Linked DNA regions of Sus scrofa. The protein of the gene in region 3 interacts with the protein of the main gene of each other region in a biochemical or structural test. Links are inferred from orthologs where the notes say so. Each region holds a gene or a part of one and is shown on either strand. Other genes may lie near its edges. The genes, in order: SCN4A, ABCC4, SNTA1, KCNA5, SLC16A7, MAPK12 and GUCY1A2.

The links.
Region 1: the proteins of SNTA1 (region 3) and SCN4A interact in a test that uses a peptide from one of them, tested with the Homo sapiens proteins (2 studies listed by BioGRID and IntAct). The link is inferred for Sus scrofa from reciprocal best matches to the Homo sapiens genes SNTA1 and SCN4A.
Region 2: the proteins of SNTA1 (region 3) and ABCC4 form a complex in vitro, tested with the Homo sapiens proteins (2 studies listed by BioGRID and IntAct, with this or other methods). The link is inferred for Sus scrofa from reciprocal best matches to the Homo sapiens genes SNTA1 and ABCC4.
Region 4: the proteins of SNTA1 (region 3) and KCNA5 interact in a test that uses a peptide from one of them, tested with the Homo sapiens proteins (2 studies listed by BioGRID and IntAct). The link is inferred for Sus scrofa from reciprocal best matches to the Homo sapiens genes SNTA1 and KCNA5.
Region 5: the proteins of SNTA1 (region 3) and SLC16A7 interact in a test that uses a peptide from one of them, tested with the Homo sapiens proteins (3 studies listed by BioGRID and IntAct, with this or other methods). The link is inferred for Sus scrofa from reciprocal best matches to the Homo sapiens genes SNTA1 and SLC16A7.
Region 6: of the proteins of SNTA1 (region 3) and MAPK12, one has a biochemical effect on the other in vitro, tested with the Homo sapiens proteins (2 studies listed by BioGRID and IntAct, with this or other methods). The link is inferred for Sus scrofa from reciprocal best matches to the Homo sapiens genes SNTA1 and MAPK12.
Region 7: the proteins of SNTA1 (region 3) and GUCY1A2 interact in a test that uses a peptide from one of them, tested with the Homo sapiens proteins (3 studies listed by BioGRID and IntAct, with this or other methods). The link is inferred for Sus scrofa from reciprocal best matches to the Homo sapiens genes SNTA1 and GUCY1A2.

Annotation. Positions count from the first base shown.
Region 1 is NC_010454.4:14,999,986-15,004,155, reverse strand, and holds the start of SCN4A (sodium channel protein type 4 subunit alpha), read right to left. Parts: upstream 2,801-4,170; 5' UTR 2,513-2,800; intron 1,757-2,512; exon of another isoform or gene 1-1,756. UniProt on the Homo sapiens protein: Pore-forming subunit of Nav1.4, a voltage-gated sodium (Nav) channel that directly mediates the depolarizing phase of action potentials in excitable membranes.
Region 2 is NC_010453.5:64,307,032-64,311,172, forward strand, and holds the start of ABCC4 (multidrug resistance-associated protein 4), read right to left. Parts: upstream 2,801-4,141; 5' UTR 2,242-2,800; coding exon 2,168-2,241; intron 1-2,167. UniProt on the Homo sapiens protein: ATP-dependent transporter of the ATP-binding cassette (ABC) family that actively extrudes physiological compounds and xenobiotics from cells.
Region 3 is NC_010459.5:36,925,733-36,929,232, forward strand, and holds part of SNTA1 (alpha-1-syntrophin), read right to left. Parts: intron 1,739-3,500; coding exon 1,534-1,738; intron 1-1,533. UniProt on the Homo sapiens protein: Adapter protein that binds to and probably organizes the subcellular localization of a variety of membrane proteins. May link various receptors to the actin cytoskeleton and the extracellular matrix via the dystrophin glycoprotein complex.
Region 4 is NC_010447.5:65,439,408-65,443,643, forward strand, and holds the start of KCNA5 (potassium voltage-gated channel subfamily A member 5), read right to left. Parts: upstream 2,801-4,236; 5' UTR 2,529-2,800; coding exon 726-2,528; 3' UTR 1-725. UniProt on the Homo sapiens protein: Voltage-gated potassium channel that mediates transmembrane potassium transport in excitable membranes. Forms tetrameric potassium-selective channels through which potassium ions pass in accordance with their electrochemical gradient.
Region 5 is NC_010447.5:24,711,588-24,715,808, reverse strand, and holds the start of SLC16A7 (monocarboxylate transporter 2), read right to left. Parts: upstream 2,801-4,221; 5' UTR 2,469-2,800; exon of another isoform or gene 2,464-2,468; intron 1-2,463. UniProt on the Homo sapiens protein: Proton-coupled monocarboxylate symporter. Catalyzes the rapid transport across the plasma membrane of monocarboxylates such as L-lactate, pyruvate and ketone bodies, acetoacetate, beta-hydroxybutyrate and acetate.
Region 6 is NC_010447.5:428,361-432,434, forward strand, and holds the start of MAPK12 (mitogen-activated protein kinase 12), read left to right. Parts: upstream 1-1,274; 5' UTR 1,275-1,486; coding exon 1,487-1,611; intron 1,612-1,678; coding exon 1,679-1,808; intron 1,809-3,997; coding exon 3,998-4,056; intron 4,057-4,074. UniProt on the Homo sapiens protein: Serine/threonine kinase which acts as an essential component of the MAP kinase signal transduction pathway.
Region 7 is NC_010451.4:62,100,259-62,104,380, reverse strand, and holds the start of GUCY1A2 (guanylate cyclase soluble subunit alpha-2), read right to left. Parts: upstream 2,801-4,122; 5' UTR 2,381-2,800; coding exon 2,069-2,380; intron 1-2,068. UniProt on the Homo sapiens protein: Has guanylyl cyclase on binding to the beta-1 subunit. Isoform 2 acts as a negative regulator of guanylyl cyclase activity as it forms non-functional heterodimers with the beta subunits.

The DNA.
Region 1 (4,170 bases), on a different chromosome or scaffold from region 3:
GACCCCTAGGCCTGCCCACGGGCCCCCGCTGCCCCCTGGGTCTCAGGGGTGAGCTCTGCCCCATGACCCAGCCCTGCACCAGGGTCAGTTCCTCCCCAAGGAGCGGGGGCCTTCGCCGCTGTGGACAGAGCCCCGGCCACTCACGAGCTGTGTGCCCTGGGGAAGTGACAGGACCCTCTGAACCTGAGCCTTCCCTGTAAGAGGAGTCACAGAAAGTTTGTGTAGCCTGCACTGTGCCACTCTCCTCTGTCCCCTCCCCTCTGTACCTGCTCTCTGAAGCCTCCTGGCTCAGATTTTTCGTTTCCCTTCTGGAGGGAGCCTCCCCGCGCCTCTCTGGGAGGGCCCATCTCTTCTCTCCTCTCTGGCTCTGCCTGCCCCTGCCCCCCGCCCCAGCCTGCTCTGAACCCCACCCTCTTCTCCTTGCCATTATCTACACTCTTCTCTCTTCTGGTGGCAGGAGTTGCCCCCAAAGGCAGGCACTTTGTCAGAACCACCCCAACATCAGCCAGGAATTCTGTGCCTCCGGAATCCACCTCAGGGCTTCCCCTGGGCTGGGGCCTGGGGTCGGGGCCCAGAAATCCTGGCCTGGGAAGCCGGCCAGGCAGACCTTGACACTCAGGCCAGCCTAGAGCTAGAGGGGACCCTGAGCCCCCACCCTATGCAGGTCCCTAACCAGAAATGACAAGCAGGGCCAGGCGGGGATGGGACCACCCGGGAAGGACCCTTAGGCACCTCTCCCAACCCTCCTAAACTCCCAGCCAATCCCCTGAGAGACGCCTGTGCTGCGCTGGAATGGGGGTGGGTCCTTGGGTTCCGTCTGGGCCCCTGCCTCCAACTGCCCAGGTGACTTGGCTCCAACTACTAGAACAAGGGCCACAGCCATCCACACGACTGCCACACAGAGTGAGGCCGCCAGCAGGGCACTGGGGATGACCCCAGAGGAATCTGCAGGGTCCTGGAAGAAGCAGCCCTCTCTGCCTGCAACCCCAGCACTGCATGCCTGTGTCCAGCCACTGCCACGCCTGGGGTCTCCTTAGCTCGGGGCCTGGGAGGAGGGGAGCAGTCACAGCCCTGGTCACAGATGAATGACAACAACGCTCGTCTGTGGCTCTGTTCCACTTCTCTGGCAGCCCGTTCCCCTCTCCAGACTAGCCAGACGCCCCACACGGGCCTCTTGCTCCCCTCCCCAAGCTGGCTCTTCCTTAGGGGCTGAATTGAATGGCCTTCAAGGCTCCTTTGGGCTCTAAGCTCCCCGAGCTCTGGGGTGACTGATGTCTGGGCAGGCGCCTGAGGGGGCTGGTGTGGGTGGGAGGGGGACATGTCTGGTCTCCAACTGGAGGACCACCTCTAGACAGTGGGGTGCCACGAGCCTCCATCATGACCTGGGCCCCTGCCCTGACCAGGGGGAAGGGGCAGCCGGACCCTGTACTTAATCACCCCCGCCACTATGCATTCTTAGAAAGCCTCAAGCACCCCCCACCCCCAGGGCCCTCTAGATGGGACTCCCCAGTTTTTGGAACAAATGCCTCCAACACACGCGTGTGTGCGCACGTGCACACAAACACCCCTGCCCTCAAAGCACCCCTCCCTTTAGCCCCATGCACCTCCAAAACACCTTCTCCCATCTCTGCTCAGACCATTTCACCAGCCACGGCCCGCCCTCCCTCCCTCCCCGTGTCCTGGGTGCCCAGCGCTGCCAGCAGGGAGGGGGAGGGGGGCTACGCTGTGCTTTGGCACCGCACCCCTGGCCCCGCCTCCTGCCCCTGAGTCTCGTCCTGAGTCCCCCAGAGTCCCCTCAGGGCTGTGACCCCCTGTTCCCCTCACGGTGGACTGTCTGGCGCTCTGTCCCCACACCCCGTTCCGCTATACGGGGCTCTCCTCTGGTCCCCCTCCTTGATTTCTCCCAGGAAAGGAGCCCAACTGGGCCGAGGCAGGGGCGGTGGGCAGAGCCAGCCGCCACGCAGCCTGAGATGTGTCCTCTGCTGGCATCTCGCAGATTCCTTTCAGCAGAGAGCAAAGGAGCCGCCCGCCACCCCCTGCCCGGCCTCCCGCTCTCCTCCCCCCACACCCCTGCCTTCTGGGCCACTGCAAACAGGCTGAGCCGAGTCACTGTTTTGGCCCCTCCACCCTCCTCTCCTGAAGAAACTCGGCCTGGTCTCTGTCCCTTGGGTCACCCTGTGGCTGTCCGGAACCAAGCCTCAGCCCCTGGGCCATTTGTGACCAGGGCGAGGGCCCTTGCTAAGGGCAGTGACGGCCAGCCAGGCAGGGGCACAGGGAGCAGGTGACAGGGCAGAGAGAAGCGAGCCTGGGGACCGAGGGTCACGGCACAAGGAGTTGGGCAGGGGCCACCGCAGAGCAGGGCCGGTGTGGGCAGGAGGACAGCGGTGCCCGGAGCGAAGCGTGACTTCGTCGGAGCCAGGCTGGGCTTGGGGCCAGGGCTCCTGGCCCCTCGGGTGGCCTGCCCTCGGGGTGCCCGGCCCGGGGGCAGGGTGCCGAGGGGCACGGTACTTACAGTTGGACGGGAGCGGAGTGCTTGCTGCTGAGCCCGGAGCGTCGTGCCCACCTCGGGCTGGGGCTGGAACTCTGGGGGACTTGGCCGGGGGGCCGGGCCGGCGGGGACAGCTGCTGCCGCTGATGTCACAGGGTCATGAGTGAAACCTGAGGACTGGGCCAATCTTCAGGTGGGAGCCTCGCCTCCCTTCCCGCCCCAGGGCTGTGCTGGGCTGGCCTGGGACCCACGGGGCTGGGGGCCGCTGACCCGGAGCGTGACACGCCCGCCACGCTCGCCCACGCACACGCACACGCACTGGGGCCCGCGTCTGAGCCCACACACGTGGTTCTCTCCCTCCCTGGATGAACCAACGCAGGCTCATTCTCACACATGAATCTCCTTTCACGCTCATTCCCAGAAGCCCTTCCGGGGCCGCGCTGGCTCACATTTGCACGCTCTGTACACTCTCACGTCTGTGCACCCCCACACACACACTCACACATGCTCAGCCATACATATAAACCACCCTTCCTACAGTCACACAAACGCTTCCACTGTGCTTCATACCCATTCTCACACGTCTACGGCTCACACATACAGACACGCTCCCACGCTCCCATCGGGCTGGCGCACATGTGTGTATTATTACACACATAGAGCCATGCACACTCTCCTTCGCAGACGAGCACATATTCGGGTGTCCCAGAGGCTAAACTGTATCAAGTGTCCTCCGTGTACACACCACCCACAGTCGTGTCCCCGCATTCGTGCATGTCGCTCACGTTACATCCATGCAGCTGTCTGCCCCATGTAACATGCTCCCGTTTACATGTGCGCAGGGCCGTCTATGTTTCTACGGTCACTAGATTTTTATCAAGTATGTGCCCATCTGTATACCACACACACGTCTCCCTCTTACACACACAGCTGTTTAGGTGGAACACACAGCAGTCTTGAGGGGGCATTTCTCCACCACCATGCCCCTCACGGGGACCCCACTGGCTAGAGTCTCTTCCCCAGAGGTTAGGGAGGGGAGGCAGTGCGGGGAGAGATGAGGCTGGTTTAGCTCCCCCTCCCCCATCTTCCACTCCCGGGCTGTGGTGACCCCTAGTGGAGGTGTTGAGAAATGACCCATCTCAGTTTGCTGACCAGCACCTGCCCAGGCAGACAAGATAATCCCTGGGTGAATCCAGAGAAATGGTCCCCCAAAGCTCCCCCGAGTCTCCCATATCCGTCACTGCCACCATCTTTTCTAGCAGCCAGAGCTCCAGGTGAGCTGAGCCCAGGTCAGGTGGGCTTTGAGAAGGGCCTAAGGAGTGATCATCCTTAGTCCCAGGGGCGGGTGCAGCCTGATGGCACCTCTCCTGCCAGCAGCTCTCTGTGGATCCAGCTTCAGCACTGTGGAGCCGCTTCTTGGGGGCTGGCTGTGGTCTGAGAAGTTCCTGCTGTACCTGGACTTCCCACATCTCCCAATGAGTCACTCACACCCTCCGGGGTGTCTTCTCTAGACCAAGGTGTGAGCTTTGGTGTTTTCTCTGTGGGATTCTTTTTTTTCTTTTTCTTTTTAGGGCCACACCTGCAGCATATGGAAGTTCCCAGGCCAGGGGTCTAATCGGAGCTGCAGCTGCCAGCCTATGCCACAGCCAGAGCAACACCAGATCTGAGCTGCATCTGAGACC
Region 2 (4,141 bases), on a different chromosome or scaffold from region 3:
ATGAAAGATTGCATAAATTACCATTAAATACCCGGTTTTAAACATAAATAAACACTAACCATAAAAAATTAAGGATTCAAGATTCAAAACTATTTAGTTTTATAGAAACGATGTGTGAGCAGAAGAGTGCATAAAGATTTCTAGGGAAAAGACTGAAAAACAACCAAAATAGCATCAAATGTACTTGGCTAACAGAAATAAATCCTTGGGGAGTTCCTGTTGCAGCTCAGTGGTAGCGAAACCGACTAGTATCCATGAGGACCTGGGCTTGATCCCTGGCCTTGCTCAGTGGGTTAAGGATCTAGCATGGCCAGGAGCTGTGGTGTAGGTCGCAGATGCGGCTCGGATCTGGGGTTGCTGTGGCTGTGGTGTATGTAGGTCGCTGACACAGCTTGGATCCCATGTTGCTGTGGCTGCGGTGTAGGCTGGCAGCTGCAGCTGCAAGTCAGCCCCCTAGTCTGGGAACCTCCATAGGCTGAGAATGCGGCCCTTAAAAAAAAAATTGCTCCTGCTGCTGCAGTAGGAAAACTGGACACAGGTGCCTAACAAAATCAGACAAGTCCTCACCTATCCCATTTACAGACACATACATTTTGAAAATCCACAAACAGAAGATGCTCTGAGAATTCCTTGCCCTGCCAGAAGTTACAGTAACCACACCCATAAGCCTAGGCTCTACTTTACTCAAGGGCCACCAAATGGCCAAGAGATGTAGCTACACACACTGAATACACCTCCAGCAAAACAAGCTTCCAACCCTTGGGGACCCTCTGCTAGGCCGGCCCATTAAAAAGGAAATTATCAGAGTATGGATTAGGGGCCAGAAACAAAAGATCTCATAATGACCCAAGTGTGATTAAAGGCCAAAGGTTCAGGCCCACCTAGTTAAGTAGTCCTAGCTACTAGATAAAAACTTTTAGTTAAAGCTTCACCAGAGTTCAGTAGCGGCTCAGCGATTAACATCCAAGAGGTTGCTGGTTCAATCCCTGGCCTTGCTCAGTGGGTTACGGATCTGGCATTGCGGTGAGCTGTGGTGTAGGTCGAAGAAACAGCTCAGATCCCGAATTGCTGTGGCTCTGGCATAGGCCTGAGGCTACAGCTTCTACTGGACCCCTAGCCTGGGAACCTCCATGTGCCGCAGGTGCGACCCTAAAAAAAAGGAAAAGAACTTCACCTCTGTAAGCTGTTTTTCATCAGGGTTTGCTCCCAGCTCAGGACGCTTCAGTGGATTTAGGACCAAATGATTCCTGGGCCGGACCATCAGCACTGTCAGACCATGCACTGCTTCTCTGAAGGCTAGAGACCTGGATAAGACCCCACAGGCCTCAGGGACCCCATCCCCAGAGTGGTCCTCAAAAGGGGAAGTAGAAATATTTGCAATAGGAAAGAGGCTAGCCAAGTTCATTCTCCAGTGCTGGCTGTGCCTCCGGGGCCAAAGCAAAACGTGCCCAAGAGCAGTGTGCCCCAGTAATTAAAAAATAGTGTAGTTTTTTCACCCACATGTAATTTGCCACAACTAGGTACCAAGATAGTGAGAGACGCACACGGAGAGGGAGGGAGCGAGACACAGTCACAAAAACACAGACAGAGGGAGCTCAGTGCAGTTTGGTACGCAGCTGTCATCTAAGAATACAGAAAAAGGTGGGGACATTGGAAGACGGCAACTGGTCCAGGGCACTAAATAGATAAAGGAAGCTGTTCATAAGATGCTTGCTTAGGGGGGAAAGGGTGCAGCTTTAGCTCAGAACTTCGAACTCCTTAGCAATACTGGGGAAGCCGGCTACACAGAGTAGGGAGTGGAGAGGGGGCGCAGCGCGTTCTCCTGCTGGGTGTAGATTCCCACTGGGCAGCCCAGGTTCTCCGCCTCTCCCCCTCCTGCTCCAGCTGCTCCCCCTGCTCCTCCTCCTACGGGCTGGCGAAACAGCGAGAGGAAAGGCAGGGACACCCGGCGGCCCCGCCACCAGGGCCTCCTCCCCCGCCCTGCTCCTCCGCCCCCGCGCGCCCAGGCTCAGGTGGGGACCACGCGACCCGCGTGGGGCCGCCCCATTGTCGGCGGGAAGCCGGGCGGCCTGGGCACCGGCGGGAAGCTCTTGCTCGCCCCAACCCTCTGTTCCCGAAAGGCGCCGGCGCGGCGGCGGCGGTGTCACAGCTCAGGCGGGGCGCTCACCAGAACAACACGCGCGAGCAGACGTTCGCGTCCCGAAGCGGGTTGGGCTTCACCTCCGGGTACACCGGCAGCATCCTGACGGCCAAGACGGGTGCGGGCCGGGGTCGCACAGCTCCCGCGGCGGTGCCGCTCACGCTGCTCCCGGAAGGGTTGGCGGAGATGCTGGACCTCTGGCTGGCCCGGGGGTCCGCCTGCAGGAGCCCAAGAATCACTCGCTTCCGGGAGTGGAACGCCTGCGGCCCGCCTCCCAGGCCGCGCCGCCTCCCGGGTCCGCCTCGGGGCCGCCAGCTACGCGCCGCTGCAGGATCTGCCGGGAGCCGGGTGCAGCGGACGCGTGCGAGCGGCGAGACAAAGGGGTGACTCGGCTGCCGCCGTCCGCAGCTTGGTGAAGGGGCGAGGCGAGGCCGAAGGTGCCGTTGGATGGAAGCGGGTAGACCTACCACGCGACACAGTCTGTCTCCGAGCCGAGACACCCACGTGCTCGCACCTGGCTGCAAGCTCAGCCTCAGTTCTTGCTCCCAGCCCAGGCACCCACCCAGAAGAGGTGGAGAGGGAGAGGCGTGGTATTTGCCCGCCCCTGCAGTTCAGAAACGCCCCCTCGGCTGCAGCTTTCCGAAGACCCAGAGAAGGCCGGCTGTAGGCATTAGCAGTCCGCCCTCTGGGCACCCTGCCCTCCTCACGACCAAACTAGGGTGCTATGGGAGGTTCTCCATCCTGCGGCTAAACATTTGACCTGGGACAACGGCTGGATTTAGCACAGATGTGTTTGTAACGCTGCAAGACCTAAAGATATGTAACAGAGAATTAGAAGAACTCAAAAAATTTTGGAAGACGAATGCACGCTTCCAAAGGGCTTTTGAGATCTCACATTACTGCATGGTGCGGGGGGGACCTCTGTAAGCTTTTTGCTGCCCTTTTAGATTGGGAAAGGGGAATATGGCGAGAGACTGCCTTATGATTTCTTTCATCATGTGCTCAAAACCTAGTGGAGTAACAGTGGTACATTTTATAAAACACCGGTTATAGGCACTTCTGGGGACCTGACTGCACTTTTCACTCTAACGATGCCCTAATAAAGAAGGTATTACTATCCCTGTTTTACAGATGAGAAAGATAAGGCTCAAGGACAGAACTTGTCCAAGGCTTGAAAATCAATAAACAGGAGTTCCTGCTGTGGCACAAGGGTATGGGAGATGTCTCTGTGGCATGTGGACACAGGGTTCATCCCTCCCCTGGCACAGTGGGTTAATGGATCTGGCCACCCAGCTGCAGCTCAGATCTGACCCCTGGCCCAGGAACTCCATATGCTTCGGGCTGGCCAAATAAAAATAACATAAAATAAAATAAAATCAGTAAATAATGAATTCTGATTTGGACCAAGTGAAAGTCCAGCATGGTCTCAACCGGTAGGTGGACAGTGTGCATGAAAAGTGCCTAGAATATGCTGTTTGGATGAATGAATGACTGCAGGTCTGAATGAACCAAATCTTGGGTATCTTCTCTTCCCTTCCACTCTAAATGAAGAAAGCTCAAAGTTCTTTGTGTTTACAATGATAACATCTTTTTTATTCTTTTTGAGTATTTCAATGTACCTTGACTAAAATACTGTTATTACTTTTTTTGCTGTACCCGGTAGCATGTAGAAATTTCCAGTTGGGGACCGAACCTGCACCGTAACAGTGACCTGATCCACAGCACTGACGTTGTCAGGATCCTTAACCCACAGAGACATGTGGAAACTCTTAAAATAGTGTTATTAATAATGGCTTTTTTCATCGAGAACTATGTCTAGATACTTATGTTGCAACAGAAGAAAGGGTGGGGGAAAAACTGTAATTGCAATGTATACATGTAAGGATAACCTGACCCCCTTGCTGTACAGTGGGAAAATAAAAAAAATAAAAAATAAAAAAATAAAAAAATTTTTTCACCACTGGAAAAATAATAAAATAATAATAATAATGGCTTTTTTTT
Region 3 (3,500 bases):
AGTGGGTTAAGGATCCGGCGTTGCTGTGAGCTGTGGTTTAGGTTGCAGACGTGGCTCGGATCCTGCGTTGCTGTGGCTCTGGCATCGGCCGGTGGCTACAGCTCTGATTCGACCCCTAGCCTGGGAACCTCCATATGCCACAGGAACGGCCCAAGAAATGGCAAAAAAAAAGATTCGACTGCAGCACCTTAGGTCACTGCAGAGGTGCAGGTTCAATCCCTGGCCCAGGCAGTGGGTTAGCAGTGGGTTAAGGAGCTGGGAGCTGTGGTATAGGTTGCAGCCGAGGCTCAGATTCAATCCCCAGCCCGGGAACTGCCATATGCCACAGGTGCAGTCATTTTTAAAAAAGGCCCCTTCGGTGAAACACTTATAAGCGACCTGTGAATCACCAGATCTTGCCTCATGGAGGCAGGCTGCAGCTAAGGCATCAAATAGGGCCAGGAGATTTGGATGCTGAACATTAATTAGCCCTCTAGGCCAATACTGAGCATTTGCCCAACTGAACCTCAGCTGTAACTAGAACCTACAGCACAAGCCATTTATGCCCACACCATATATATGGACTGCACACCCAATAGTGCACACCCCTTTTGATCAACTGAACTCCATTCAACCACCACCATCACTCAGGCACCTGAAGCTTCTGAGGTAGAGAGGGCTACCTGGAATGAGACAAGTTCCATCCCTTCCTGGTTGTGTGATCTTGGGCAGGTTACTTCCTCTCTCTGTCCTCATCTATAAAATGGGGATAAAATAAAAGGACTTTGCTCATAGGCTTGCTATGAGTTAAATTGTGCATGATAAATACTCGTAATATTGATTATCAATCTTATCAGCAGTGAATCTTATCATCAGGGCTGTTCAGATGTGAAAGATGGTAACCTGCCTTGGCCCTGAAGTGAATGTTGCATCTCAGAACCTCGAGACTTGAGGGGATCACTGAGACCAATATTTTTTTTTTCTCTTTTTAGGGCTACACTTGTGGATATAGAAGTTCCCAGGCTAGGGGTTGAATTGGAGCTATCAATGCCAGCCTACACCACAGCCACGGAAACAAGGGATCTGAGCCATGTCTGCAACCCACACCACAGCTCCCAGCAATGCCAGATCCCTAACCCACTGATGTGAGGCCAGGGATCAAACCCAAATCCTCATGAATACCAGTTGAGTTCGTAACCTGCTGAGCCACAATGGGAACTCCCTCCAGTATTCTCATTTCACAAAGAGGACTCATCTAAAGGTCAGTACAGTAGGAAAGGAGACTGATTCAAGGAGAACCAAGACTGGAATCCAGGGCTCCTCCACAAACCAAGTTTCTTCTCAAACATGAACTTCGCAGAGGAAGAAGAGATAAGCAAAGCCCACCATCATCCCCGTAACTTCACTCTTACAGCCACTCAACAAACATTTCTTAAGCACCTACTACATTCTGGCATGGTGCTTGTCATTTGCAACACAGGGGAAATTTTCCTTTGGCCCCACCAAACTAACATGAGGTCATGTCTCTCTGAGTTGCCCCTATGGGAGGCTTACCTGGTCTCCAGGTCAGTAGGGGTGCACCTCCTTGAGACATATGCCATCTTCAAGGACACGTGTTTGGCATCACTCAGGTCCCGGGGTAGGGGGCCAGGGGAGGAAGGCTGCCGCTGTAGGGGTGAGGCAGGAGGCGAGTCCCAGCCAACTGAGGTCCCACTGGCAGAGTTCTTGAAATATGGTGAGACCTCCTTCATGTACTTGACTGGTTAGGGGACAGGTCAGCAGTTACCACTATGACATGGGCTCCCATATAGCACACATCACAATTATCACTAATTCATTAAGAGTTTAATTTATGTCCACTATCACTATCCTCCTCGATGCCAAAATCTCTGACAGGGCAGCATGGATGCATGCCAAAAAAATTCTGGATGCATGCCACTAGTCACATGTAGTTACTGAACACTTGAAATCTCCTCAATCAGAGTTCCCATTGTAGCTCAGCAGTAATGAACCCAACTAGTATCCATGAGGACTCAGGTTCGATCCCTGGCCTTATTCAGTGGGTTAAGGATCCGGTGTTGCCACGAGCTGTGGTGTAGGCTGCAGACATGGTTCGGATCTGATGTTGCTATGGCTGTGGCATAGGCTGGCAGCTGCAGCTCCAATTCAACTCCTACCCTGGGAACCTCCACATGCTGCGTGTGCAGCAAGCAAGCAAGCAAGCAAGAGAGAGAGAAAGAAAAGAAGGAAGGAAAGAAGGAAGAAAGGGGGGAGGGAAGAAGGAAGGAAGGGAGGAAGGAAGAAAGAATGAAAAAAAAGGTGCTCAATAGCTAGTACACATGAGGCGCCGAATATTTTATTCATTTCCTCTGCGCAACTGACCTATAAAGTCATTATCAGACATGTGATCCTGCCCTCCTGGCTATGCTAGCTGGATCAGGGTTCAACACCTAACACCTTAGGCTACCCAGATTGAGACTGTTGAGGGATCCTTAATTGGTGTCTTGAAAAAAACCTGAATACTCTGGGGGCAACCACCTTCTGCTGTAAGAACAGAGAAGAGGAGAGAGTTGATATGTCAGAAGAGAAATTTAGTGGAGATGCATGTTGAGAGGCAGAGGGAAAACTCTGCCAGACATCTGCTAAAGTTCTGCTTTCTCACACTTCTTCTTTAGAAAGTCAGGATACCATCCTAACAGGAGTTATGATATTTACAACCAAGAGCCTTGACTGGAGGCTAGATTCCACGCCTTTCTAGAAAAGGAAGATCTCACTAACAACGGCAGCTAGAAGAGAAAAGCAACATGATAACAGGGTTGATCTGAGAAGAGCTTGGTGGGAGTAGAGGTTCAGAGACAAAAGTCAATTTTCTTGAGCACCTACTATGTGCCAGGTATTGAACTGGCTTCAGATATGACTGGGGTGGTAAACATATGACACTTATGCTACCACTTCTTTACCCCTTGTTCAAGATAGACATCATGAATCAACCACAGTATTCTATGGCAGCCATTATTAATCAATTAAAGCCAATTGATAATAAAACAAACATTTGGTCATTCTTGCTCTATCAATTAGTTGAGCTTGGCTGCAAGTAATGGAATATATGATAACAGTGCCATAAGCAATAAAGATATTTATGATTTTTGGAGTTCCTACTGTGGCACAAGTCAGCAGTGCCTCCGGAGCACAGGAACACAGGTTTGATCCCTGGCCTGGCACAGTGGGTTAAGGATCCGGCATTGCTGCAGCTGTAGGTCACAGCAGCTCGGATCTGATTCATAGCGTGTGAGCCAGCAAGCTCATACGCTTGAGGGCAGCCAAAAAAAAGAAAAAGAAAAACAAAGATTTTTATGATTTCATGTAACAAGAAGTCTAGAGGAAGGCAATTTCAGGATTGGTTCAGTGGCTCAATGACATTGGATCCTGGGTAGGCCTCTCCGCCCTGCCCTGATGAGCACAGGTTGGCTGCTGCAGACTCAAGCCAATCTTTGCTTTTTTGGAGGGGGGGGGGCTGGGTA
Region 4 (4,236 bases), on a different chromosome or scaffold from region 3:
ATGCTTTTTGAAGAAAGTTACAAGAACTGGTTAAGGCGCACAGAAAAAGTTAGACTTGCTTTCTTCCAGAGCATTCTCTGCCCTAGACACAAAGCACCGAAATCACAACTCAGAAAAGAGAGAGGCTTGCAGATAACAGGAACCAGAACAGCCAGACCAGGGTCTCGGACTGTAATAGAAATATCACAGGAGAATGTTGCCATAACCTCCTCTTTCATAAATACAATGTATGTCTTGAAAATATATCCAAAATCTCTCCATCTGAACTACAGTACAAAAATCCACTCGCCAGCCATAAAAATAATATTTTCTCATGTACACAAATATAATTATATGTAAAGCAAATTTGGAACACAGGGATGGGGGGAGATTACCAATTCTCTGGGGATTGGGCTATTTAAAGCCATTTTTGTTTGGGTTATCCCTCTGCTGGGTCTAGGAAACTGGCTACAAATACATCCATCTCACAGTGCTCACCATTTCAACAGCTCCTGCGTCATGGAATGTGGTACTTTTTAAAAATAGGTGACCCTGGGTGTCATGGAAAGAAGAGGAAAGAAAAACTAGGGGATCAAGGAGACGCAGGAGGGGAGCAGTGAAAGAAGAAGGGGCGGACCTAGGTTACAGGGTGGGCTAGAAATACTCTTCGCCATGAAGTAGATCCCCAAGGTCAGGAGGCCCCCCGCTGTCCCCAGCTCTCTGCCAACTATCCACCTGCATCCCCCTTACAAATCTGTTTCCCGGCTGCTATCCAGGCAGAGGGCATACAGAGATCTCCGCAAGTCCACATTGCTCTTGGCCTTGAGGTTACACTTCTCTAAGGGGCAACTGCCCCTCCGGGATCCATCTGCATTATCCAGGGCCCCCACAGCCTTGCAGAGGGACCCCTTGCTCCAGCTGGCCTTCCGCTGGCCACCGCTGGCCAGTCCTGTCCCCTGGCTCTGGCTGCCCTGCTCTTCCTTAAGGGCTGCCTGCTCCTCGTGGTCCGTCTCCCTGTGGTAGAAGTAGTTGAAGTTGGAGACAATGACGGGTACAGGCAGGGCGATGGTGAGGACCCCAGCGATGGCACACAGAGAGCCCACGATCTTGCCCCCCACGGTGACGGGCCTCATGTCCCCATAGCCCACCGTGGTCATGGTAACCACGGCCCACCAGAAGCCATCCGGGATGCTGGAGAAGTGGGTCTCTTGGTTGTCGGCCTCGGCGAAGTAGACGGCGCTGGAGAAGAGGATGACGCCGATGAAGAGGAAGAAGATGAGCAGGCCCAGCTCCCGCATGGAGGCCTGCAGGGTCTTGCCCAGGATCTGCAGCCCCTTGGAGTGGCGGGAGAGCTTGAAGATGCGGAACACGCGGACCAGGCGGATCACTCGGAGGATGGCCAGCGACATGGCCTGCTGCCCGTTCTGGCCGCCCCCTCCCCCACCCCCTGGCTGCTGTTCCACCAGCTCGGTGCCCAGGGTGATGAAGTAGGGGAAGATGGCCACCACGTCGATGATGTTCATGATGTTCCGGGAAAACTCAGCCTTGCTGGGACAGGCGAAGAAGCGCACCAGAAGCTCGAAGGTGAACCAGACGACACACGTGGTCTCCACGATGAAGAAGGGGTCCGCCAGGGTCCTGGGCAGGAGAGGCGCCACTGTGGGACCTGAGGGAGGCGGCGCCGCCGCTGCCCCGCTGCCATTGGCCCCTGGGGCGGGTCCAGGGGGCTGGTGGTGCACCGGGGGATGGCGCAGCAGCTCGCGTTCATCCCTGAACTCAGGCAGGGTCTCCAAGCAGAAGGTGATGATGGAGATGAGGATGACAAGGACTGAGACGATGGCGATGGCCCTCGCGGAGCCCGAGCTCTCCGGGTACTCGAAGATCAGCCACACCTGGCGCTGGAACTCGTTGCGGGGCAGGGGCTTCTCCTCCTCCTTGATGAAGCCCTCGTCCTCCCGGAAGCGCTCCATGGCCTCGTCCCCCAGCTGGTAGAAGCGGATCTCATCCGCGAACACGTCCAGGGAGACGTTGACCGGCCTCCGCAGCCGGCCCCCGGACTGGTAGTAGTAGAGGATGCCATCGAAGCTGGGCCGGTTGCGGTCGAAGAAGTACTCGTTCCTCAGGGGGTCGAAGTAGCGCAGGCGCTTGGCGGGGTCCCCCAGGAGCGTGTTGGGGAATTGCGCCAGGGTGCCTAGCTGCGTCTCAAAGCGCAGCCCCGAGATATTGATGAGGACGCGCTGGTGATGGAGGGAGCCCGCGCCCAGCACCTGGTCCTCCGCCACGCCCAGGGCGGGGTCGCCATCTCCCTCCTCTTCCTCCGGAGGCAGCCACCTCGACTGCGGCAGCTCCTGGGGCGGCGGCGGCACCGGCCGGCCTCCCGGATCCGCGCGCCTCTCTGCTCCGCGGCCCCTTGGCTCCCGCTCCTTGGGTCCATCTCCGAGCGCAGCCGTCGGGGGGCAGCGGAGCTCTCCCCCTGCGGTGCCGGCCTCCCCTCCTTCCTTGACGATCATGGCACCGCCATTCTCCAGGGGCACCAGGGCGATCTCCATGGTCCGGGAGCGGGGGGCATGCTGCGCCCCTGCGGACTGACTCCCGCGCCCCCCTCACACCCTGCTGGGCGACCCGCGCCTGACGCCTCTTCTGCTGGCCGCCGGCACGGCTGTGGGGCGGGCTGGAGTGGCTGGCCGGGTCCCCTCGCTCGGTCCTGACGTCAAGAAGCCGCTGCCCTGCCCTCTGCCTCTCTGGGTTCTGGCAGCCCGTTACCAAGCAGCCAAAAGCCGCCTTCCAGCAGATGCAACCTCCAGCCGCCCGGCGCGGCCTCCGCCCCGCGCGGCTCCCCGCCCCCTGTCGTCCTCTCCTTCCCCCGCCTCCCCTCCGGGCTCAGAGGCAGCGGGAGTCTCCCCGGAGGGCGCAGCTGGGGCCCGAGCGAGGAGGGAGGGGCTGAGCGGGGCTCCGCCGGCGGTGGGAGGAAGGAAGGGAGGGAGAGAGGGAGTGGGGAGGATGGAGGAACAGGTTGTACCGAGAGCGCTGAAACTCCAAGGGCAACCAGATGAGAATAGCTCTGGATTTCAGTTCACCTGGGAAGCCCGCTGAGCGCCGATGGGCTCAGGGGGAAATGAATTGCCCTTGGAGGGATGATTTTGAGATGAGAGGGAGTATGAGAGAAGGCAGTGCTTTTTACGTTTCTCCCTTGGAGGAATAAAGGGTCTCTCTTCTTTGGGCAGAATTACAAACAGGAGGGGGCAGGATAGTTATGGACCTTGGGAAAAAAAAATGTATATATATATGTCTGTATCTCCAGATTGAAGGTGAAGCATCTCTTTTCCCATCTCCCTGCATACATTGGTACCAAAAGGTAACTGAGGGAAAATTTAGTGTGTCCTGCCGCTTAGTAAAGCCCCCATTCCCAGTGCAGACAGCGGTGGTCAGAGGGCAGATGCCACCCAGCAGCCCTAGGCAGCCAGCTGGGTCTGGGAGATTCGCTGCCCTGACGCTCACAACCTCGCTGCTCTCCCCACAAAGCCATTAGCAGAAACCATGAGCAGGGAAGGGGAGGAGGGAGAGAGAGAAGCTGGTGAGAGTGGTTTCTGCCTGGTGAAGCTGGGAGCCGGAACCAAAAGCACATCTGTGTAGGGAGTTGGGGTGGGGGCTCTTCAGGAGAGGGAGCCCCGGAGCTTGTGGAGTGCCCGGGGCTGGAGAATTCTCAGCAGTAGAATAACAATCCATACATACTTGGCTCTTTTGTTGTGTCAGGTCCATTTTCAGCACTTTACAAATATTGACTGGCCTATTCCCTTGGCAACCCATTTTCTCAGCAATGTTATTATCTCCACTTTTTAGAGACAAGGAAAATGAGACACAGAGAGATGGACTAACTTGCCTAAAGTCACACAGTTAGAACACGGTAAAAGCTGGGATTTAAACCCAAGCAAGCAGAGTTCAGGACCCTGTTCCTGTCCCTGTGCTCCTCTCTAGAAATGAGTCACCCCCTTTCAGATATAAGGGTAAAAGAGTTCCTGCTCCCCAACATCTGGGCTGACAGTTTTCGTTCCTCCTGCGGGAGGCAGGAGGGTGGCTAAGAGGACAGCTGAGTGCTTCTGGGTTAGAGAGCCAGGCTATCCGGCTCGCCCTAGCCCTGCTGGGTTTTAGCGAGGAGCATCCGTCCAGAGAGAAATATGCTTCAAGGCAAGTCTGGCCCATCCTGGCACAGCTTCCAGACGTGTTTTTGGTTTTACATTACCAGCAAGTCTCTGTCTT
Region 5 (4,221 bases), on a different chromosome or scaffold from region 3:
TTTTGTAGCTGGGTTTTCCATACACTTTCTTCCTCACAATAGTACTTCAGGAGAGGTACCATGAGTCCTATTTTATGAATAAACAAAACTGAGGACAGACTCTTAAATAATTATTTAACCTTACAAAAGTGCAGAACTGAGCTTGAAATCTAGGTCCATCTCTAAATTTAATTACGTTTTTTCCATGTGAATGTCTCAAAAACTGGCGAATGAACGTAGGATGAAAAGCAAATGCAGACTTCTTTTACTTTAGATCCATGATCCAAGAACATAACTCTGGCTAAAGGGTATTTTGGTAGGTCTTTCCTCCTTCTTTCCCTTCAAGAGGGCTCAAGGCCAGTTATAAAGAGTAAATGCATGTTTAGAAATGAACTGAGCATTTACAGGAAGATGCAGGCACTAACTGGGGCATTGGGAAACAAGTGTTAAAATTTCAGATCACTTACATTATTAAAACAATCCCTGGGGTGAAAACCAGTACGTAACGGCTAACTATTGATGGGAATTTTGCAAAAACTAGTTTCTGACTTTATGAGTTGTTACACAACACACTGAGTTGCTTAAGGTAATCTTTCCCTTTCACTGAAATCATTCAGTCCCCTGCTGATTTAGACTGCTTTAAATGCAATGCACTCAGAAGCATAAAGTGGAGCTACATTGCCCCACCAGGGCCAAATAAGAGCCAGCTTGTTCAGCCCTCATCTATTCTCTGCAGCCACCACCCAACTCAAATTTTTCAGCCACACTCCCCCAAATACACTTAGTTCTTGTGGTTCCAATGACACTGCACATTCAAGTCAACGTGTCTGCTGAAAGTTTGTGGCCCTCCTGAGTTCCCAGTTTGGATTTAGCCATAAGGCATGGGGTTCCAGGAAAGGGCATCTAGTGCCCACTGTTTGCTTTTGCCCAGACTTTTTCACATCACCCTCATCTCTGCCCAGAGGTTTTATTCCTCTGCTGCCTCCCTTATTAGACCAGAGAAAAGAGAAAGATAAAATATTAGCTTTCCGGAGTTTGCGTCGTGGTGCAGTGGTTGACGAATCTGACTAGGAACCATGAGGTTGCGGGTTCGATCCCTGCCCTTTGCTCAGTGGGTTAAGGATCCGGTGTTGCCCTGAGCTGTGGTGTAGCTTGCAGACGCGGCTCGGATCCCGCGTTGCTGTGGCTCTGGCGTAGGCCGGTGGCTACAGCTCTTATTCGACCCCTAGCCTGGGAATCTCCATATGCCAAGAGAGCGGCCCAAGAAAATGGCAAAAAGCCAAAAAAAAAAAAAAAAAAAAAAATTGGCTTTCCTACTACCACCAGCCTGCCTTCATGCAAACCAGCCCATTCAGTACTGCTCCAGGAAGGAAAGGCACAGGTATTTGTAGAGAAATCACTCGTGTGCGTGTGCGTGTGTGTGTGTGTGTGTGTGCGCGCGCGGATGTTAATTTCCCTGACAAAATCCACAAAATTCCCTCCCTAGCCCCACCAGTAAAGTAGCTTTGGGCATGACTGCCCTTGCGAAAGCAGTCTGCAATCCTTTTCACGGAAGTAAAGGAGAAAATGGGGGGGAGAAAGCAGCTACCAAACAGAATCCGCCGAAAGAGGAGGCAGTTCCCACGTGAACAGTGAGCCTCCCGCGCTACCTGGCCAGGCCTGGCACCCCCAACGTGGCGCAGCGGCCCGGGCAGGAAACCCAGCATGAGCCCAGGAGACACAAGCCCTCCTCTGCCCGGGTCAAGTTCCTTTTCTATCCCCGGGGCGGGCCTCGTCTGCACACACATTTCCACCTGCCTCGCTCCCGCCACGCTACCTGGGGACAGAAATAGAAAAAAATCGACCCCCTTGGTAATTCATCCCCTCCTCTCAGCCTCTCCAAGCCCCGAAAATCTGCTAAAAAAGACGTTCCCTACACACACTCTCACCACCCCCAGATCCCCAACTTCTGCCGCACGAGGCCACCCTGGGGTGCTCGTGGGCCGGAGACTGGATGCTGACGAGAAGAGCACCCGGGAATACGCCAGGCGGGAACCTGCCCGGGAGACCCGTGTGCCAAAGACAGAGAGGGAGGAGCGCTGCGCTGCCTGAGCCTCGGAGCAAAAGCCCCGCAGCTTGGGCACCTCCCGCCCGGAAGCACGCGGGCACACCCCGCACTCCCCGCACTCCCCGCCCGAGTCCCTCGGGCCCCCCTCCCCGACGCGCGCGCGCGCTCCAAGCCCGCGCCCCACCGCGCCCCGGCAACTGCCCCGCTGCTGTCGGCGCGCCGGGGTGACGCGAACTCTCCTCCTGGGGCCGCTTCGGGAATTTTTGTCTATATAAGGGCTCGCGGGCAAGCTCGGCTTTGGTGCGCGTGTCACAAGCTAGCCATTACTTTTACACACGCGCGTGGTTCCCCGGGTAGCTCTGGTAACAGATGCGCGTTCCCCTTCCTCTCTGCCGGCGCCCCCTCCTCTCCTCCTTTCCTCCCGGGGTGTAACTTACTTTACCTGGTCTCCAGCACAGGCTGGGCGCTGCAGAGATCCGTTTCCCGCCAGCCACAGCAGATTCGCCTTGCGGTCACCGGGTGAATGGAATTATTTATTTATTTAGGTCCCTGGACGAGTCCTCCCTCGCCGCAGCCCGAGGAGGTGGAGGAGGAGGCGGGGAGAGGAGGCGGGGGAGGTGCGACTGAGTGCCCTTGTGGGTGCCCGGGGCCATGCGCTGCGCGCTGGGGGGAAGCGGAGATGGGGGCACCGAGGAGGGCGGGGTGAGCACCCGGGGCGTTGCGGGAGCCCCGGGTCCTCGGGTGGGGGCCAGCCGCCGCCGGGCGACTCCAGACGGACTGAGCATGCTCCAAATGACTGTCAACGCCGTAGACACTTAACTCTGTGGCTCCAGGCGCTCCACTTCAGATTTTAGTTTTGACCCAGAGGGTAAACAAGTCTGGTAAAGAGAACTGTAGGTCCAAATCGGTCGGCGCACGCTTCATTCGCCCCCAAGTGCTTTGGCGCCTAACCTAAGAGCCTAATCTAAGAGCCAGGTGTGTGGTAGCTCTGTTCAGATACCCCGGGGAGTGGTGCAACCTGTAGGTGAGGCAGGCAGTGCGAAACGAGAAGAACTTGGCCGAAAGCAGGGAGAGAAGTCTCCTTGTGAGCTTGGAGACAAGTTGTTGGACCGTTTTTTCAGTTGAAATCTTTTGGCGGGCGCGAGGGGAGAGGGGATGGCAGTGTTGGAGATTAGACTCGCCAGCCAGGTATCACTCTGAGGGGGAAAATACGGTTTACCCCGTGCGTGAAGGAGTAGCACTCAGAAGACCTTGCACGTAGGAAAGAAATGAAAGTCATTTGTAAATGATTCAAATTATTTAATTCTTCAAAATAGGATTTAGTTATTCGACAATACGTGGTGCTAGTGATAATGGTAATTCCAGTCTTGGTTTGGTTTCTTCTACCTTTATTTTTACTCCGTGTCTCCAACATATTTCCGGGAAAGTTAGAAAGAGGAAGGGCTGGAAATGAACATTTACATCGGGTTCCTTTAATATTTTTAAGGTTGAAGTAAAGTACTACTTAGAAACAAACAACCCAGAAGAATAAACGTGGGCTTGGTTTTGAGCATTCCTAGTCCAGTTTTTCTGTCAATTTAACTGCCTCTCCCCAATTCCTGCTCCAAAAAAGTGAAAAAGATAAAATGTTACATTAATCTAAGATAAAAATATAACTTCCTAGACGTTTTCCTTGTTTATTCTAGAAATTAGATCATTTCTAAAAAGCCAAGATAATTTAGTTAAAATAACTGGAATTTGGAAGCCTGAAGGACAAAGAATCAAAAAAACAAGATGGTAGTTATAATAAAATAATTATTTATTAAATAGTTATCATTGTCGGTCACTGTTCTTTTTATATGGATTATCTCAATGAATACAATCACTCTATTACATTATTCACATTTTACAAATTTGGAAACAATTTAAGTCATTTGGCTAAATTCACATTGCCTTACTTCTGCCAAAGCTAGTCTGTAGGCTTGGACAAAACTTGAATTTTAGTTTCTGCAGTTACAAAATAGAAATAAAATCAACTTTTTATTACTGATAGAAGATTTAGGTGAGATGATATATGTGAAGTTGATAATATGATATGAATAAAATGATGGCCAATATTAGTAACTTCAAAAAGTTTGGAAAACAGTATTGCAGAGAGACAGGTAGTTTGGAAACTAAGGAACTAAGGCAAAACTTCCAGATAGGACTTTAGACTT
Region 6 (4,074 bases), on a different chromosome or scaffold from region 3:
GGGCCAGGGAGATGGCGGGCTGCTTCAGCCCACAGGCACACCCCCAGGGGGAATCAGGCAGGGTATCCGCAGGACAGGGACAGCCTATGTCTCTGCCTAGGCCTTGGGGTGCAGACCACTGGGGAGGTGGGCCTCCAGAGGCCTGGGTGGTGCGGGTACTGGGCTTCTGGTCCTGGAAAACCCCTGGAGACCAGGCTGGGTCCAGTCCTGGGCGGGGGGCCGGGGGCGAACAGGAGCAGAACTGGGACATGCCTCACCGGGGAGTCTGGTCTGACGCAGAAACCTCTGGACTGCTGGGGGCTTCCTGGAGGAGGCAGGCAGAGTGCCACAGGCAGCCCAGGGCATGAAGCACCTGGGGAGAGGCGGTGGTGGCTCCAGTGACCCCAGGCTGCTCCCACTGACCAGCCGGCCACTCCAGAGCGCCCAGATGCCCTCGGCAGCCCAGGTGTAAAGCTGCTCTGGCCAGGCCTGAGCTGCTCAGCTGCTGATTCATGGTGCAGGGCACAGAGGGCGGGGCAGGGGGCCCTGGGGATCTTCTTACCCCACTCTCTCTCCCGCCTGGGTCACTGGGCTAGGGCAGGACAAGGAAAGGACTGGGGGCTCTGTCCTCCAGGAGCAGCGGGTCAAGGAGGGGCCAAACCCATGAAATGATGAAGCCCCCACCTGGGGCGGGGCACTGAGAGGCCCCTTCACCCCTGGGGTCAGGCACACCTTCCTGGAGAGAGAGAGGAGGCTCCCGCTGGCCTTTGAACAAACCAGAGGGCCTAGGCTGGGCAGGGGCAGGACAGGCAGAGGGACTTGCAACTGTGTGACTTGGGAGATGGAACCGACTTTTTCCTAGGGAAAGGGGGAAGGGGGAAGGCAGGTGCTGGGGACGGCGGAGCTGGGGCCGACCAGGCGGCGCGCTGGGGGGTGGACAGTGATCGGGGATGGGCTGGGCTGGAGGTTGCCCAGCTCCGGCGGGCCGCCCGCCGTGGGCCAGCGCCCCGGGGCGGTGCTTGCAGGCGGGAGACGCGGCCCCTGTTAAGATGCCTCCTCTCTGGAGGTCTGCGGGCTTCATCGCAAGGGCAGGGGCGGGCGCCGGGGGCTGGGCCGAGCCGGGGCGGCGGGCGCCGCTCCCCGTCCCCTCCGTCCCCTCCCCCGGCTCCGGCTCCGGCCTCCGGCGGGGCGGGCGGGCGGGCGGGCGGCCGCCTCAGGTTTCCGGAGGGGCCGGAGGGCGGGCGCGGCGTCACGTGCGCGCGGCCCCGGGGCCGGTTGGTGCGCCGGCCGGGGAGGGGCCGCGCTGTGCCCGGGCCGGGGTCGGCGGCTCCGGAGAGCTCGGAGGCAAGAGCCGGGAGCGGGGGAGCCCCGGCGGCGACGGGCGGCGCGGCGCGGCGCCGGCTCTGCCCCGCGCCGCGGCCAGGGGCGCGCGCCAGGGTGCCCCGCGGAACCCGGGCCCCGGGTCCTCGGGGCGCGGGGTCTGCGGCGGGGCGGTGCCCGGCCAGCCATGAGCGCCCCGGCGGCCGCCCGCAAGGGCTTTTACCGCCAGGAGGTGACCAAGACGGCCTGGGAGGTGCGCGTCGTGTACCAGGACCTGCAGCCCGTGGGCTCGGGCGCCTACGGCGCCGTGTGGTGAGCGCAGGCCGGGCGGGGGCCGGGCGGCGAGGCCGGCCCTCCCGCTAAGCGGTGCGTCCCGCAGCTCGGCGGTGGACACCCGCACCGGGGCCAAGGTGGCCATCAAGAAGCTGTACCGGCCCTTCCAGTCCGAGCTGTTCGCCAAGCGCGCCTACCGCGAGCTGCGCCTGCTCAAGCACATGCGCCACGACAACGTGAGTCGCGCGGTCGCCTCGGCTCCCCGCCCCCCCCCCCCGCCCCCGCGCCCGCGCCCGCCTGGCCCGCAGCCCCTCGGCGGCGGCGAGGCCCTGGAGAGGACTCCGGTCTGGTCTTTGGCTCCTTCCCGAGGCCACATCCGGCTCGTCCGCCCGGCCCAGGCCCCGGTCAGGGGACGACGTCCTCTTGCCCGGGGGCTCACTCCAGGTCCCGCCTCCAAGCAGGATCCCCGAGGCGAGAGGCGACCTCAGGTGGGGGGCGAGTCTCTGGAAGGGGCACCGTGTCTCTTCTGGGCACCCCTTCCTGAACCCGCTGTGCTCCCTCTACCTCCTGAGCCCCAGCCCTGGGAGCCCCGAGGGGGCCTGTGTGGGCCTTGGGGAGCTGGTGTGCGAAGGACACGGGGCACACGCCTTCCTCACGTCCAGCGGCGTGCATTTCACAGCCCTTGGGGTAGGGGCTGGACCCAGCCTCCGGCAGGGAAAAGTCTGTTGCGTCCGGAACTGCCTCAAGCCTCTCCTGGGAACGCTGCTGGCTGCTAAGAGCCCTTCCCTCTGCTGGGGGTGCTCCTGCTGTTTGCCTGTGGCCTTGAGCTCTGTCCCCTCCCACACAAGCCACCCCTGCCCAGTCTGAGGGCTGGTGATCTGGGCGCCCAGACCCCGACTGATCGTGGTGGTCTGGCACCTCCTGGCTCATCAGAACCACGAGAATGAGCCTCCGTGTCCACCAGGAAACTCACCCCTTGGCTCCTGACCAACGCCCACCTCTCAGCCCCTCGCAGAGAGGGTCCTTCTTTCTCTCAGACTCCTCTACCCTTGACCCTTCCCGGGTGGCACCCATTCACCAGCCCAGCCGGGCCTTTACTGCCTCTGGGTCACATCTGGTCACACTCAGGCTTGTCCTCTCCCAGAGTCCTCACCCGGCTTCTCCCCACCACCTGCTGCTCCAGTGCCGTCTCCAGGCCTTCTGTCCAGTTACCTCCCGCCCCGATCTGTACCAGTGGGTCCTTCTCCCAGGGGAGCCCCTGACCCACAGCGCGGAGCGCTGCAACCTGCAGGGCTGTTCCAAGAGCTTCCTAAACCCAGTTCCTAGGAGGAGCTAGGCTCGGTGAGGCCGAGTGGCACACCCGCGTGAGCTCCTCCGTCCTCCCCCCCCCCCCGCCCCGCCCCGCCCCGCCCCAGGCCCCGTCTGCACCGCAGAGGCCTAGAGATCTCCATCAACCTGATGGATACCACCTGCCCCCCCCCGCCATTCCTGCCAAAGCCTCCTCCCAGGGCCCTCGGCTCACCTGCCTCCAGGCCCCTCTGGATGTGCCACTCTGTCCCCTCCACCCCGCCCACATCTCTGGCTCTGGTGTCCGCTTTGGTCATCTAGCTGTCCCTCCACCCCCATCCACCTTCACCTCACTCTGGTTTGTCCCCATATAGCAGCCAGGGGACACATTCAGCATCTCACCGTCCTCAGTGGCTCTTAGGATCAAAGCAAACCTTCCCTGGTGTTCGAGGGCCTGCTCGGGTTCCCTTCGGCTTCTCCTTGGCTACTCCTTGGCCTGGTCCTTGGCCACCTGGCCTCTCTCCCGTGTTCCTCAAACGCACCAAGCAATTTCCCTCCTGCCCCGGCCATCATTTGCCTGGCCTCTGCCAGGTGTCCCCCTGCCAGCACATCCACCTGCTCCTCCAGCCACTCTGATTCTCAGCCTCCCAGGGTCCCTGGAGGCCTTGTCACTGGAACCCCAGGTAGCAGTTGTCACATTACCTGTCTGCTGTCCATCACCCCTGGTCAGAGGGCTGTCGATGTGGCCACAGTGTTGCCTGCCTGGGCCTCTGGCAGAGGCGCAGCCTCTCGAAGGAACTCTCCCCTGAGAGGCTGTCCCCACAGTGGTCCTGGGTCTTCAGTGGGGACAGCAAGAGGGGGAGGAAGGGCCATGGGGCTGGCGCTCCTTGGATGGCCTGGGAGCTGACCCAGACTTGGGGCCGCCCCTCCCCTGGAGGATCCTGGCTGTCACCATCCCAAAATAGCCTTTGTCCATGGGCGTGTGTGCCAGGGCTGGGTTGAGCTGCTGGTGGGCAAGAGCCAGGCCCTGAATGGTGGGGGGAGACCAGGCCAGTTGCAGGAGGCTTTCCTGCCCAGAGCAGGCTGTGTCTGAGCCCCCGTGTCCCCGGCCAACCTGGTGCTCTGGCCTCCTCCCCAGGTGATTGGACTGCTGGACGTGTTCACGCCTGATGAGACCCTGGATGATTTTACAGACTTGTGAGTGCCGCCTGGGGC
Region 7 (4,122 bases), on a different chromosome or scaffold from region 3:
CATGTAGCTGATGTATACTTTTATCATCACAATTATTTTCAAATTTCTCATCCTGAACACTATTGTCTAGTTAAATGCTTTTTATCCATCAAAGAACCAGAGTCATTAATAAAAGTTAAAAATCAGAACTTATTTCCTTCCTCTTATTTTGGCAGTAAATACTTGAGTTCAGTTCATTTTATCTACCTTTCACATAAGTTGCTGAGAATAGACATGTTAAACTGGCATTACCAGAGGCACTGCCATAACTTTTTAGAAATTTGTAAATTATGATTTTTAGGCAAAAAGAAAATTAAGAATTATAGAAACAATTCCCCCAAATCTAATAATTATCTTTAGTAAAATCATCATATTGGATATGAATCTGTTATACTTAAGAATTAGTATATTGTACAAATGTTGCTTTAGGTACTGACACAAAACCACAGATGCACAAGGATTACTGGACTCCTTTCATAAAGGATTATGTTCAACAATTTGCAACTTCAAATAGTTCCTAAGATTATGCTTCCTGGGAAATAGCTGCATTAAGAATAGCAAACAGTAGCCAGCCCATTTTGAGTTTTGTTTCCTAGGTTATCGATAGAAGAAATGGCAAAAGGTAAATTGAAGGGAAAATGCACAAAAAAAGGAAGATGACCAAAGAGCAGTTTCACTGCTAAAAGAAAAGATCACACTCCATTTACGCAATGGCCACAAGACTGCCTAGAACCAGTTCCCTGTCCCTATGGATCTCATTCTTTCTCAGGTCGTTCCTACCATCAATCGCAAGAGTACTTTCAAAGGGGAGACTCAAAAAGGCAAACAAGCTCAATGTGCAGATTCATTTTAGAAACTTTAAAGAAGTGAATGTCTCAGAGATGGGTAGAAAAGTGCTGTCAGGAGTTGAAGTTCTTGTAGCCAATCAAGATGAGAACAAATGGTAGACAGTGGTTTGATACTGAATTCCCTTAGGATCCGGTCACAATGGAGTGGATTCCTTCAAAACACACCTCATACAGTCAGAGAAAGGTCTGACATTCGTGCTAAGAGTAGAGATCAAGGGTAGCCGAAATGCTGGAGCTGGAATAAGGCAGAAGTGCTATGGAAAGATGGCTAGAACCTGGGGGAGTCTGGAGTACACCTGGAACTGCTCATAAAGGTATCCCCAAATGAGCACACGTGGAGAGAGGGCTAGGAAGGCATTTATTCATTCAACAGATATTTATGAAAGGCCTAATATAAGAAAACCATAAAAAAGAAAAAAAGAGGTTGAAAGCACTAAAGAATCCAGAGGGAAGAGAGTGAAGGATGAGGTAGAGGTGCAAGAAATACCAGAGAGGTTTAGGAAACCAGACACCAGGTTTACCCAGAGAAGAAGTTTGAGCCAATAAATGCCCAGTGACCAAAAAAAAAAAAAAAAAAAAAAAAAAGAAGAAGAAAAAAAAAGGATATGAGGTGGTAAGAAAACAGGACATTAAAGGTTTCTTCATCAGAAGGCAACTAATAAAAAAAAGAAAAAAAATCTGACAACCAGTTCCCGAAGATTTAAGAAAAGGAATGCAACATAGAATGTAGTTAGCCTGCAGAATTCAAAGATGTCAGAGAAGGTCACGTTAAGACCAAGAGAGTGTGGGAAAAAAGAGAGGAAGAGTTTCCTGGAAAGGAGTAGGGGTTCCTTTGGGATACTGGAGAACAGAGATGAAAGACATGGAAATGGGAACTGCGGGACACAGTGCCTGGGAAAGTTTGGGGAAAAGAAAACAGGTGGGTGTAAAGAAGCACTAGGGCCATCAGGGTGACCGCGAGGAAGGAGGGTACAAGGCTGGAAGTGGGCAGACAGACCCCCGAATCAGGAGACCCCGAAAGAGTGAAGCTTTACTCCTTTCCCGTGCTCCACCGCCCCTTCCATCAGATCCCAAGGTCCAGTTTCCCCAGGGGTCCTTGGGGACCCTAGGCCTGGCGGTGAGAGCCCGGGCCGCCCTCCAGCGGTGGGGCTCTGCGCACACTGCCGGGCTTGCCTGGCGCCAACTTTCCCTACCCCAGTCCTCTCTTCCGAAGGGCGGCCCTCCTTCCACTCCCTGCTCACCGAGGGCGCCGTCAGGCGGCTGATGCTCTCACCCAGCGAGTCCAGGTTGACCCGCCTCCGGCGCTGCGTTCTCCTAGCCCCTGCCGTGGAGCTGGCGGCGGTGGCAGCGGCAGCGGCAGCGGCAATGGTGGAGGATGCCGGGGCCGGGGCGGCGGCAGCCGCCGCGCTGGGCTCCAGAGGCCCTGGCGGGCTGCGGCTGCCGTTCCAGCAGAGCCTAGACAAGGGGCACTCCCCCTCCTCTTCCGGGCTGGTCTCCAGGTAGTCAGAGCCCAGGGAGCTGAAGGACTCGGACGAAATCTTCCTTCGAGACATGCTGCTGGTGGCGCTGCGCCGGCCGAAAAGGAGGCGGCGGGGACGCGGGAGGCGGCGGCCGCGGGACCCGCGAGGGGCGGCGTTAGGAGTGTCGGGGCCGCGAGGCGTTGTGGTCGTGCTCCGCCGGGCGGGAGTTCCCAGAGCCGTGGAGCATCCAGAGCCGACTGTTCATGGCGGGAACTTGGGGCGCCGCGGCACCTTGGGGTCTGGGTTCGGCCGCGGTCACCGCCGCTGCTGCTGCTGCTGCTCCCGCGCCGCCGCCTCACCGCCGGCCTGGGCGCATCGCTGTGGACTCTCTCCCGCCCGCGGGAAGCCTCCGAGTATGTGACCGCGGGCGGCGGGGCGCGGAGGCTGCGGCCCGCGCGGTCGCGGAGGCAAAGGCTTCTGCCGCCTGCGCGCCTATCTCGCCCCCTTTCTTACGCTGCTCCCGCCCCTCTCCTCCCGCCTCTCTCCCCTTGCCGCCCGCCTCCTTCCTACTCCCTTTAACCCCCCCTTCCCCCCAGGCTCTCTCGCTCACGCTCTCGCTCGCTCTCTCCCCACCTCCCTTTCCGTCTCCCTCTCCGTCTCTCTCTCTCCGTCCCTCTCGCTCTCTCGCTCTCTCTCTCTCTCTCTCTCTCTCTCTCTCTCTCTCTCTCTCTCTGCCGGCATCACGTGTCGCCATCATACTCATTGGGAGTCTCCGCCTTGCCTGTCGCCACGTTTCAGGAGCAACAAGGACACCTCGTCGTCGTCCTCTGAGCGCCATCCCCACTCCTACCGTCCCCTCCTCCTCCGAGGGGGTTTGGATCTGACCAAAGGGCCCCAACTCCAAATGCCCTATCCATGGTCTGCGGGAGCAGCTGCTGGGGAACAGTAGGGCACCGGTGGGCACTGGAAGGGAGCAGAGAGGGGGGAGGGAGGCGGAAAGGAAGATCTTCCTCTGAAGCCACATCGGGAAAGTCTGAAAGCATGAAGTGGGGGGGTGTGGTCCGTAATTGTCCTTTCCCTCCGAGTTTATTTAGGAAGTTCTGAGGAGAAGGAGGAAGGCCAAGCGGCCCAGCCTGTCCATTCCAGAGAACTCGCTTACAAAGGAAGGGAAGGGGCAACATGTTGGCACCCTTCCTGCTGTAGCAGCTGGTGAGGACTAGTGTTCTCCGCCTCGGTCGAGGCTGCGTGGGCTCGCAGCAAGCCCAGAGCCGGGAGGCAATGAATAAGGACAGCGTCTGCTCGGGCGAGAGCCCTGTTGCTGAGCATCAGCAAGGCTGGGCGCGTGGGCTCCTGGCTCCTGCCGGCTCTGCACTGATGCTGGACAGCTCCGCTTGCCACCTGCAGCAGCCTTTGCAGACTTGCAGACCTGGGGACAGTTCCTCTGCAGACTCAACTACCTAGGACCCAGGAGTGATCTCAGGCCTTTCATTCTCCCAGATATTTGAGCCAAATATGGTATCTGTTTGCACTTGGCTACAAATGTGCTTGGAAAGCTAAGGGCGTGGTGGGGGTCTGGGGCGCGTGGGGAAAAGGCTTTTCAAAGCCCAAGAACAGCCTCGCAAGTTTTCGATAGAGCTGCTTCATTCCAAAGCTTGCCTCTTGGCAAAGCAACAGCCGCTGTTAGTGCCCGTCCCCATTGCACTTGCTTTAGCCCCATGAAAGTGTTGTTCTGACATTGAGAAGGGGCAAATATGAGTGTCCCAAAAGTAGGGTCCCTGGCTATACTTCGCCCTGCAGCAAAGCTGACTAGCATACTCCTCACGTTTCCCTTCCCC